Kluyveromyces lactis: one gene and its partners. The protein of the gene in region 4 interacts with the protein of the main gene of each other region in a pairwise test. Links are inferred from orthologs where the notes say so. Each region holds a gene or a part of one and is shown on either strand. Other genes may lie near its edges.

Evidence for each region.
Region 1: the proteins of PMC1 (region 4) and YPQ2 interact in a protein complementation assay, tested with the Saccharomyces cerevisiae proteins (2 studies listed by BioGRID). The link is inferred for Kluyveromyces lactis from reciprocal best matches to the Saccharomyces cerevisiae genes PMC1 and YPQ2.
Region 2: the proteins of PMC1 (region 4) and FTH1 interact in binary tests that used the Saccharomyces cerevisiae proteins (3 or more experiments, as listed by UniProt). The link is inferred for Kluyveromyces lactis from reciprocal best matches to the Saccharomyces cerevisiae genes PMC1 and FTH1.
Region 3: the proteins of PMC1 (region 4) and SNA4 interact in a protein complementation assay, tested with the Saccharomyces cerevisiae proteins (2 studies listed by BioGRID). The link is inferred for Kluyveromyces lactis from reciprocal best matches to the Saccharomyces cerevisiae genes PMC1 and SNA4.

Annotation. Positions count from the first base shown.
Region 1 is NC_006041.1:1,930,498-1,933,201, forward strand, and holds YPQ2 (Ypq2p), read right to left. Parts: upstream 1,521-2,704; coding exon 561-1,520; downstream 1-560. Other genes in the region: KLLA0_E21671g (uncharacterized protein), read right to left, coding at 2,107-2,704. UniProt on the Saccharomyces cerevisiae protein: Amino acid transporter that moves arginine across the vacuolar membrane. Active during nitrogen starvation when it exports stored vacuolar arginine to the cytosol, for use as a nitrogen source.
Region 2 is NC_006042.1:2,588,523-2,591,887, reverse strand, and holds FTH1 (Fth1p), read right to left. Parts: upstream 1,886-3,365; coding exon 563-1,885; downstream 1-562. Other genes in the region: MFM1 (Mfm1p), read right to left, coding at 2,422-3,365. UniProt on the Saccharomyces cerevisiae protein: High affinity iron transporter probably involved in transport of intravacuolar stores of iron.
Region 3 is NC_006042.1:563,925-566,116, forward strand, and holds SNA4 (Sna4p), read right to left. Parts: upstream 943-2,192; coding exon 529-942; downstream 1-528. Other genes in the region: GID12 (Gid12p), read left to right, coding at 1-365; KLLA0_F05896g (zinc finger CCHC domain-containing protein), read right to left, coding at 2,081-2,192.
Region 4 is NC_006037.1:780,511-784,559, forward strand, and holds the start of PMC1 (calcium-transporting ATPase PMC1), read right to left. Parts: upstream 2,859-4,049; coding exon 1-2,858. UniProt on the Saccharomyces cerevisiae protein: This magnesium-dependent enzyme catalyzes the hydrolysis of ATP coupled with the transport of calcium. Transports the calcium to the vacuole and participates in the control of the cytosolic free calcium.

The DNA of each region.
Region 1 (2,704 bases), on a different chromosome or scaffold from region 4:
TACACAATATTGCTATTCCAGCTGAAAGACGAGTGCGTGCAGTGACTTCCCAATCAAGCCACACTGTATTAATTTGCCTTCGCTCTTTCCCACATAATGGAACCTTGATTCCGGATGCTAGTGCTGATATTGCTATGTTGCGAGCTACGATTTGCTAAGAAACGAGTAAAAGAAAAAAAAGGCAACACAGAAGAAGACACAGTAGCAACAATAATTGTTATGTGAGTAACGGTTGTTCCCTCATTTATCCGATGCTCTTGAACGTAAGTCCCGGTGTCGATATTTTACGATACTTTTCGCCCTCTTATTACACGGTGTTATTCCGTTGTTGAAAAGGCAGTGGTTCAGTCCAGGGGCATGGAGTAGTCACGCTGTGCCACGGACTGGTGTGCTCCATGACAAATGACATGATCGGTCCCATATTCAAAGCAGGGCATTGAGAAACCGGTCAGTAGTGCCGGTGTTTTCGAAGTTTCAAGCTCGAGAAATGATTACATATAATTATTCTGTGAATATATACGTATATGTGCACATTGGTGTGGGGAAGAACACAGAAATTGTTAATAGGAATTGGTTGATAGGGGGGAAACCGTTCCGTCATTCATCAATGGAGTGAACTCGTCAGATTCAAGTCTTCTAATGTTGTAGTCTTCCGCGTACAAAACGTAGTGTTGGTAGAAGTAGATCAAATCGAACACTACAGTGCCTGCGCTCCCCACGATAAATGGTAATGCATTGAGTACGAAACCTAGCTTGTCCTCATCTGTGAGATAAGAGCAACTGGTGAAAATGGATAGTGTGTATGTGACATTTGCAATTAACGTACTTATAAAGAGGAGGGGTGAAAGCCCATCAGTACTCTTCCTTTTGTAATTCTTGATCAATTGTGGAATTCTGGCACAGAAATAGGACATTGCTCCGACCCAGGATGCCAATTGACCAATAAAGCTTGTATGGGGTGGTTCAATAGGCACAACGGGCGACGGACGGTGCTTACTAAACGGAAAAACTGTTTCGGATCCAGTAATGGCTTGAGCAATGGACACGACAGGCATCGGGAACCCTTGAACAGTTCCAGGCTGACTGACGAAGAATGATAAGATCCACCATTTGAACCCGCGTTGCAATTGAATACTGGGGTTTGAACCACGGCTTCGTACCAAACGTGTTCGTTCTTCTAAAGTAGCAGACTCATGGCCTGGAGTCGCTAGCTGATTCCGGTGTAAAATACCGTAGTAATAGTATTGACCACATATCAACATGTCATTAGACAAATAATAAACTGCCAAAAGAATCTGGAATGGGAGTTGATGAGTAAGTACAGCTCCAATTAAACTGGTTATATCCCCGAAAAGCCAGCATAATAGAAATCCTGGTGATAACCCTTCAACACTCTTGTCACGATAAGTTTCTATCAGTTGTGGGATTTGAGCGACGAACGAAGTTAAAAACGAAATCCCTCCTGAAGCAACACTAATTTGAGGCCATAGCGATTTATCGCACCAGGTCGGATCACTCATGTTATCAGTTTTCCTGTATTGTCACTTAAAAAAGGCTGTTCTTAATGTTACAGCCCTTTATCCTCGAATATTCTAAGTCTTGTCTTCTTGTTCCTCTTCCTTGTTACATATCAAACCATATATGTAAATTCCAAATTTTTTTTGAAGATCCTTCCTTTATCTTTCTATTCTTCATAACAATTAAAACTTTCGAGTCATATGCCTTTCTTGGTAGTGATGAGAATAATAGTGGTAATATAGAGGGAGCGCCCTAGTTATACCTCCCATGATAGTAGAACATGATCCTTATATAATGTTTGTAAGATAGGACGTCATTTTGGAGGACAATTATTTTGCTGTGAAATTATTTATTTACGATGAATTTCACGCTCTTTTCATGGACTCATAAAGGGATTCTAAATTTTCATGCATGGAACGACACCAATTATATGTAAGAAAAAAGAAGAACTCAACAATGATATAATACAACGTGTGCGTAATTGTGTTCGATGTTTGGTGTTTGTGTATATATATAGCTTCTTATACATAGCATGGTTGTGAAAGCTTTTGCTGTAGTGTCACGTTCGCACGGCTTTCCAGTGTCATACTAGAATTTGGCATAATAGTGATTCCATTTCTTAATAAATACCAAATATTGGTCACTCACCGGTTCGCGATTGTCAACTGGTTTTACTAATTGGAATGACGGTGGTAGTTCGTCTAGATGAAGTAGATTGTTCCAGCCAAAATGGTACCTTAGCAAAACGTTTAAAGAGAGAGAGCACAAGACTTTATAATTCACAACGATATACTTTTCTTTAAAGGTGTCCCAATCAGTATTCCGTAGCTGATGTTGCCACTCTTCTGTCCAGCGTGATGCTCTGGCGTTCTCTGCTACAATTATATCCATGATCCATATAAATAGATCGTGATCTACTCGAGCCAGACAGTTCCAGAATGTCATATAGTTCAAGTACCTTGAGTCGAATTCTTCCGCAAAGGCTGAATCCTTTCTCATGTATCTCCCGACTACACCATCCCTGTTCATTATACGATTATCGTATTTATCCCTTGTAATTGAGTTGAAACAAGTCAGTTGTAGCAGGTTTGCTAGCTTCCAGATTAGCTCTAGGTCGTATCCCTCTAAAAGGAAATGGAGCATCAAATAGTTATCTCCAGTCTGTAATCCGAATCTAGAGATTGAC
Region 2 (3,365 bases), on a different chromosome or scaffold from region 4:
CCCAGAAACAAAGAAATCCACCCTTTGTCAAAGTCACAGGCAATACACACTGAGTGAGACATTAAACCTGCTGTGTGCACAGATATTATAGTTATGAAGTGAAATCTTTGATTTTGTATAACAGCGGCATGTACATCGGGTTTTCACTGAGTGAAGCTGAAGTTAGAAACAAGTGAACCGCTTTCGGTGTTTATTGTAATATATACTGTCCCGCTACCCCAGATTTTGGTGATCATATCTTTATTTTTTGCTCATTTTTTTTTGGCCGAATTGAAGGACTTTTCGAATTTAAGTACAAAAGGGAACATTGTATTCAAACAAACGACAGAATATGCCAAAAAGAAATATGTAAGTAATCATGCAGCAGCCCACATTGACATGCCGTCACCTTTAAAAACAGTCAATACTTGTTATAATCCAACGTAATGTGTTATATTACAACAGCAATTTCTAAATAGTATATAGTATTTCTCTTAAGTAACTTTTCCAAATGGAGCAACTGCGTACGCAAGAAAATGATTCGTTTACATGCAACTTTGAAGAATAATAGCTAACTATTTCATCACTGATAACCTTGAGCAGGCGAATTAGAATCTAACAGGAGGCTAGAGCTATTGTGAGTATCCGATGAAGCTCTCGGAATATCAGGCAAGTTTTTGGTAGTGGAAGATGAGTTCCAGCCACTCGTGGATGATTGAGATTTGAGTGCAAGAGACTTTTCAATAATAGATAATCTTTTGTTCATTCTCCTTCTTTGTAGACTGACAGGCAAAAATGGAATATATCCATGTTTCTCTTCGAGCATCATTAGCTTTATAACAGCGATAACAATTAACCAGTACATAATATAACTGCTAACTGAACCATAGGTAGCTGAGTTAGTCCATCCAAAAATGGCGGTCAAAATCATCCAAAATCCATCCCTTTCACCGTTACAACAGTTAACATGCCATACCGAACGCGAGATATCATAAGAACCTGGACCGTTTCCAACTTCGCTCATATCTTGACCGTTACAAGCATCAACATACTTCTGAAGTTCAAACTGCCATACACCCTTGGAGAATAATCCGCCGGCAATAAGATATAGGAAACATGTTGTTACCACAAGGCAAATTTGCAATGAAAACGACTTTGAGTATTTGAAGAAGAATACACCGAAAATTGCCGAGATCGCCGTAGCAGAAAGCATCGATAGTGGAATAGAGGTTAATGGACTATCGATACCGATACCACCAATGAAGACGACAGCCTCTAGCCCTTCTCTCAAAGAAGTAACAAATGGTAGGATGAATAATGAGTATTTCTCGCTGAAACTTTTAGCTTTGCTTTCGCCATTTTCCATCGGAAGTAATTTGTCTGAGTAAATGATGGATGCCAATTTAACTCTGAACTTCTCTCTAAGTTTACCCATTCTTAAGAAGAACAATCCCATAACTGAAATGATGACAGACGCAATAACGCTTAAAACACCTTCATAATAATGTTCACTCATAGACCACAAATCCGTGCCAACATAATAAAATGCCACAATAAATCCACCACCAATAAACATACATGCCAAAAGGCCTAACAAACCTCCAGAAATGATTTGAAGTTTTAGTTTTTTATATAACTGCTGGTTATCAACTTCTAGACCTAGATTTGGAGAATCGGAGTCATTAACTCTCAATAATAAATCTGAAGCTTCTTCCTCTTGAATGGTAACCGGGGCAGCATTTTTTGAAGACTCTGTATCGGATTCAGCGGTGGTATCATGCGAGAATAAGGCTTGTTTGACGATTGTCAACAAGATGGAAACGATTATGATGATCTCTAACGACTCTCTCAAGAAGATGAAAAAAATTTGAAACGAGAAATAATTCTCAAAACTTGACTTTGACATCTTGAATAAAAGATCCTTTATACTAGCTTATAAGTTTCGTCGCTTACGTGGATGTTGTCAACCAGAACCAGTTTATAGCCCGTTATCAAATTTCTATAATGATTCAATCTCAAATGTAATAATAGTATTTCTTTCCAGTCTTCAATTGTATTTTTTGCACCCCATTCAAGAGCCAGGACAAAAACGACCTTGATCACGTGATACAATCGTTCTCCCGGGTAATGAAGATACGTTAAACTTAACAATAGGTTGGTACTGCATATTAACATACAGTCGTGAAACATTCTAGAATATCGGACAGTTTCAATCCGTTTCACTACTGCTTATACCTTAATATCATATTCTGCCAGGTGTTTTTCGCTGGAACAAAGATAGAAGCAGTCGAGTAGTATGTATTCTAATGCGAATTGCATTAGATGCTTATATGTCACATTATATATACACAACATTCATAAAACATTTAAGAGCTGGAAAATCCAATGCTACCCTAACTTGAGTATTTACACAATACGTTAGGAGCACTTATTCGAATAGTTTTATTTTAGCGTAGAGCTTTTTCCATGACTCATTAACTGAACCTTTTCCAACTTGTGTAAATGTTTGACGGAGAATGCAAACAGATATGCCATTAGAATAACCCCCAATGTCGATACCACGGGGAATCCAACGTTACCTTCCTCTATAAAGTTCTCTAAGTTCATACCGTAGATTGAGGCAATAAAAATAGAACCGGCTAACGAGAGTAAACCAATACTGAAACGCAATCCAAGTAACATCAATTGATTTCTATTTGAATCAAGAATGATATTGATTATTTCTTCTGTAGTTTTGATATTGGACATTGTATTTCCTACAGTTTGAACAATTTCATCGACATGATTGTAATAAGTTTCTAAAAGCATTTCAATTTCTGCATGATCATGCTCTTCTCTAGGCTTCCCTAATTGTTTCTCAGTCAAGTACATTTCACACAAGACATCATCTTGCTCTAATAGTTCTTCAATCATTTCTCTCATCAAGAAAGATTTTTTGTGAAAGACGCTAAGTTTCTTATTTTGAATCAAAAGATACCGTAGCTTATCTCTAGTAATACTATATTCTAAGTCTTGCAAAATACCCGTTGAAACATTCAGGTGAACCTTGAGCTCTGCGTTAAGGTTAGATATAGCCGAAATAAAAATGGACTCTACTGCTCTAAACTCGTAAGGCAAAGGATCTTTATTCACAACATCTGGTACCTCAAAACCGCTTCTATTTTGTAATCTCAGTTGTAAATCCGCAATGAAATTCTGTTGAGAAACCGAATCCAATTTTATACCCATCGAATCGAAAAGAATTAACATGTCTGATTTTACCAAAGCCCTAATGTTCAATATACTAACCAAAATGCTATTCTCACGCACAAGAACACTGGGAACCAAGTCATTTCTCCTCGATTTTTCAACCTTTCGCAAGTCTCGGGGTAGGAGTCCATGTGTGT
Region 3 (2,192 bases), on a different chromosome or scaffold from region 4:
AGCTAAGAAGTACAAGGAATCTACTACATAACGATGTCGGGGCTGTTAAAGTAATAAACTTCCGTGTAGGAATAGTGAATGATATTGGGTTAGTTTTAAATCAGTTCAAACAAGATGGTTCTGACTATTATATTGAGTTTTATTCCATCTTAACAACGTTAACGGGAGATATCGCACTACTGAGGGGTGAATTCAAAGTTGGCCAACGATTAGGTACTATGAAGATATTAGATAGTTTGAGAACGCAACAATCGGATAACTTTGTTGACCAAATATTGATTACAAACTACTCACTATCCAATAAAAGAGACGCTGGAATGGTAATTCCTGAGGTTTTTAAAATGAATAAAAGATCCAAAACTTAGAAGTCTTTCAACAATGTAAGTCAAAATAATCTATACGTTTACGTGAATAGCAGCTAATATAAACCCTAATTAATATAATGGTAATCCTTGTAGAAGATGTACAACAATCATGAAATAGCAGAAGTAAAAAAAAAATGAGGTGCTGATAATTAACCGCCCCTAATCATACACTTTCTGTGTATGGTGGGGGAGAACCCTTTGGCACATCCTGAGCGTAGTTATTTGGTTCATATCTTAGAGGAATCTGAGTTCTTGGCAATAGAGGATCTTCTACACCAGTGGGTTGATGAGAAACGGTCGTTACCGCAGATGGGCTTCCATATCTTTGTCCGTCATTCCACCCTTGCTCATAATAATAACGTGTTTCGGTATCCGTCCTTAGCGGTGACGTGACGGTAATATAATAAAAAGCATGAATCATTCCAGGGAGGAACCCAAACATAGTTAGCAACACGTTTAATAGTAAGTCACTGGAACATAAACCCGATCTCAATCCCACGGCAATCGGTGGGAATATTATGGCAACAATATAAAGTATCAAATCTGATACAGTACAGCAGATACAGCACAGACACATGTTTCAAAAGCTTTTGATAATACACTGCTGGGAGTATAAGGGAAACCTACGAGGCTCTTCTTCTGTATCCCAATGTTGTGAATTGAGATGATTAATAGGTATGATTCATTGTTCAAATTTTGACAATTATCAACTAAAGAAAACTATGGGAAACGCCATACATATGACAAAAATGATTGAAGCCACATAGACCATTTGTGAATGCTTATACCGAAACAAGTACAGGCTTTTGAAAGCCAGTAGCGAATGTATATCTTGACACCCCTTTGACAAGCTATATCTCGTTATCTAAATCAACATGGAAGGAAAATGAAGTCACATGGTAAATTAAGTATACACGTACATCTTAGAATTTTTGTTTTTCTGTAGTGATATGCTTTGGATGATAGTTGATTGATTAATCGCCTGATGAGGGATCGTTGATATCAAACAATATAACGAATATAATATAATAATCTATTTAGTTAGATCGTTGAGTTTATGCGTCCTTGCTCTTCTTTCTCTTGTTGCATCCAACCTCCCCAAGAGGTCGCAACATAGCTCAGCCTTTTATACTCGACTTATATACTCGGATGGTCGTCAGACTTCGTCATGGCAACTCGTTGCCTCCATGCCCTTGTAGGTCCTGTGCAGCTACCGTCCTCCACGCGCACTCAAGACCATCACGTGACAGTCTATGATCCATCTATGCCATCCCTCTGGATACCACAGGATCCATATGCCCAGTCACTGACGTCTTGGAACTCTGCCGTGTGCTGGCTAGCCCACATGACCTCTCGTCTGGCTTGTCCTCAGTCTATATTACGACATTTCCAACAAATTTGGTTCCTTGGCCCAGTTGGTTAAGGCACCGTGCTAATAACGCGGGGATCAGCGGTTCGATCCCGCTAGGAACCATTATTTTTATCGCTCTCTATTTTTGGCTCAGTTTATTATTTGACAAGTACTAGTGTCTGTGGAAAGCCTAATATATAAGCCTCGCGGAAACAGCAGCCGAGAAAACGCAGTTGGCTTGCAACTATTTTTTCATCTTTCCATAAATTACGCTAGTTAGTACAATATTGTTCAAAATCTCTGCTATTCTTCTGAGACGAGACTTGGTTACACATATATATGTATTTGGGGTATCTATATTGAATCACCTTCTCTTTTTGAAACCGGAGTAGGAGTTATACTTTCTATATCTATCGTTTGAGGGTTGATATGAGCTGCTCCCATAACGAGGAATATTGACGTTAGGATTTCTTGGG
Region 4 (4,049 bases):
GTCAACACAGAAGTTTCTTCTGCCGAGGCGACAGCAGAAACAAATGTTAAGATAACTGCTGTAATGTTAACGGTAAGCTGGAATTGGATGAACTTCTTTATGGACACAGAAACACATCTACCCCACTTAATTGCATTAACAATAGCGGTGAAATCATCTGTCATTAAGATAATATCAGATGCTTCTCTGGCCACTTCTGTACCAGATATACCCATTGAAAATCCGACATCGGCCAACTTTAGAGCAGGGGCATCGTTTGTACCATCACCAGTAACAGCAACAACTTCGCCCATTTTTTTCAAAGTTTCAACCAAAATTCGTTTATCCTCAGGGGAAGATCTTGCAAGCACTCTAAGTTTTGGAATCACACGCAACATTTTTTTATATGGTAGCTTTCTAAATGTCGGTCCTTCCATTGCACATTCTGGATCGTTGTAACCCTCTTCGGAAAGAATATTACAGTTTCTTGAGATGGCTCTTGCAGTTAAAATATTGTCACCAGTGACCATACGAACAGTAACACCTGCTCTTTGACATTGTTCCACGGATTCCTTAACACCTTCACGTAGTGGATCTTGTAGACCGACCATAGCATCAAGGGTCATGCCTTCGCTGGACAAGTTCTTGTGGTCCAACTCGTGACCCATAACCAGATCTGGTGAAGCTATCGAGGGGTCCGTGCTATCTGCAAATTCCTTGGGAGGCCATTCTTTGAAATCTCTGTGAACTAGAGAGATTGTTCTGAGCGCATGAGAGGCCATATCTTGAATCTTTTTGAAGGACTCATCATATAAATCCTGATTCATTGGTACTATTGAGTTGTCGGAGTTTCTCTGGTTAGAACATACCTTCAATAATATTTCGGCGGCACCTTTGGCATAAAATCTATACCCTTTGTTATCCGCTAACTGAACAGCAATAGCTCCCCATTTTCTAGAACTTTCAAAAGGAATGACCTGCACCACCTTATCAATACCTAAATCTGAAGGTTTAGTTCTAAGTTTATGCACGTCTTTCATCCCTAAGGATTTCTGAGCAAATGCCAACAATGCCGTTTCAGTTTTAGAACCGAGAAATTGTTCATCATTTTCTTTCATTGCATCGGCAATCAATTGTGAAGTCCTGTTGTTTCTACTCCAAGGGAACAGACTTTTTCTGCTTTTATGATAAGGGTTTTCATCCACATCCTTATCTTTATGTTGACTTTCTTTATTCTCAAATGCTGTCGAGTTCAATGAGATGTTTGACAAGATATCAGTTAGAAGGCTTGCATCACAATTTGAACGTAAAACGACAGCAGACTTGATTTCTTTGTTCTCAGCGTGAGTTGTATCATCGAAGCCCAAGTTACCAGCAAACCCTTTTACCACTGTCATCCTATTTTCTGTCAAAGTACCGGTTTTATCTGAGCAAATGGCAGTTGCAGACCCCATTGTCTCACATGCTCTTAGAACTCTAACCAAGTTCCCGTCCTTGGTCATTCTTGTTGTAGCAAAGGCTAATGCCAAGGTAACAGCAAGTGGTAAACCCTCTGGAACAGCAACCACGATAACCGTAACAGCAGTGATGAAAATGTTCATAAACTTGGAACCTTTCTGAGCAGGCGGTAGATCATGGTATTTTTTCCCGTTAGGTAAGTAAGTGAGGAATCTAATGAAGAGAATGATGAAAAGGACAAGTGCTGCCATACAACCATAAATGGATATATTATCAGCTAAATTGGATAATCTTTCCTGTAAAGGAGTGGATTCTGATTCCGTCTTCAAAGCCATCATAATCCTACCATTAACAGAGTTTTCACCAACGGATGTGATAACAGCATTACCAATACCGGATAGCAGTTTGGATCCGGAAATCAATAGTGGATCTGGAACCTTTTCACCTACACCGTGACTACCAATATCGATAGTGGGATCCTTCTCAAAAATCTGCTTGTACTTTTCCAACGCAGGTTTCAATGCTACCTTCTTTATGGTGTCCGATTCACCAGTTAGTGCGGATTCATCGCATTCGCAGGATCCTGAGATTAATACAGCGTCCGCAGGCACCACATCACCTGTTTGAAGCGATATTACATCTCCCACCAATAAGTCATGGATAGAAATAAGATGTTCATCACCGTTTCTTATCACAACCACATCTCTATCATCTTTCTTTTTGTTTAGTTTTGCAAACTGTAACTCTTTTTGATAATCGTTAATTGCACCCACTAATACCACAACAACAACAGCAATCATAATAGCCACACCTTCGACCCATTCAACTTTAACGATTTCATTACCCTCAGGATCGTATTCTGGAGGTTGACCCAAAGTCTCATAAAGACCCAAAGCGAAAGAAATCACTGCAGCAACAGTAAGCAAAATCATAGTCTTGTCGTTGAATGCTTCCCACACAAGTCGTAGGAAAGATTTCCCTTTCCGTTCAGGAATTCTATTCAATCCATACACCTGAGTTCTCTCTAGGGACTCGATATCCTCGTCTTGTATAGTAAGACCATTGGTACGATCCGTTTGCAAATAAGTATACAAATTAGATTCGTCATTATCGAATACGTTATTGAAGGCAGTTAGTGATTTGGGATCGTGTAATTCCGAAAGCTGAGATGGAGCCAACTTGAAACTCGACGCCTTGGTCATTCTATTCACAGACATCATGGTAATTTGAGTGTCGTGATGTTTTAAAGGTTTAACGGCACCTATTGAGGTGGATGTAACCCCTTTGTTGAGAGGTCTAGTTTGCTCTTCAGTCTCTACAGTTTTATTCTCATCTTTCTTACTCTGTAACCCAACAAAACTTTCCCTACCGGTAAGAGAAGGGCTGTGTGCTTCATCAACGCCTTCATTCAAAGAGCTCATACTCAAGTCGCTAAAGAAATAACCTGTCAGTTAGCAGGGTAGGAGAGAGCACCACAGGGTTAATATGAATTGCCCTTTCTAAAAACTTTAACACAAAAAAGTGAGAACTTTCTTCTGAATATTATAATCAAATCAACAATTAGCACGCCAAGGAATGTATTCTGTAAGCCAATTCTTGTTCTTTTTCCTTTCTTAATAACGATTTCTTCTTTTGTTAGTTTTCCAGTGCCAATGAAAGCCTTTAATGCGTGGAATTAATGATTCAAGTTAATCTATATATATGACAAACCCATTCAGCAAACATAAAACGATAAAAGCATAAAAATGTCCGGAAAGCTTATGATTACGATGAATTAGGATAAGGATAAAGTTGAGGAAGGGTCGCAGCCTTGAAAAGATGCATTCTATTAGTCTTGATCTTTCGGTTTTCTGTTTTTTTGTTTTTTTTCCTGTTACAAACTTTCGGGGCTTAGTAGTCTATATACATTTCGTAATCATACAGAATATGCAACTACGGTACCTACTTAATCAGATGTAGTAATTGGCAGCTGATTTTTCCAGCCTGGGAATATATGGATGATGAAAAATTGGTGTGATAGTGCCCTGCATATGGATATTGGATAAATGGTTCTAGAGTGTCAATTTCCCACAGGGTGGCTGGCCATCTCGCTTACTTTAATGATTCCACAGTGGTAATGAAGGGGAAAAAAAAAGAGAATGGACCCTTACTCAATTGGAATTGAGGCTAGGCTTAGTGTTTGATATCTGATTCTGGATATAACGAGATTACCCCCCGCAAAGGAAGTGAGAGAGGCGGAAGAAGCCAGCCGAATGTGGTATACGTACCCACGGTATCGCAAGCTATCTTGCTAAGCCACATCAAAAGAGTCTGCACAGTATCATTTTCCATGTAGCTGACGGAAGTTTTTTTGTCTGGTCTGTAGCCTATGTGTTCTACAATTGATTTACAGTTTCACCGGACTATGTCACTTGCTAGTTGCTACTGTGTCGCTTGTGAATCGCCCTTTCCGGTCTAGCTTTGTTAAAAATCGCATCAACTTTTTTCTTTTTTTCGCTCATCGGAATAATTAAGGCCAGTAGACAGCATTTGGTTTGAACAGTATACATACATGCATTCAAGCAAACAGCCAGGCAGCTCATCGCTCATGGACCAACTGTAAACCTTCGGTA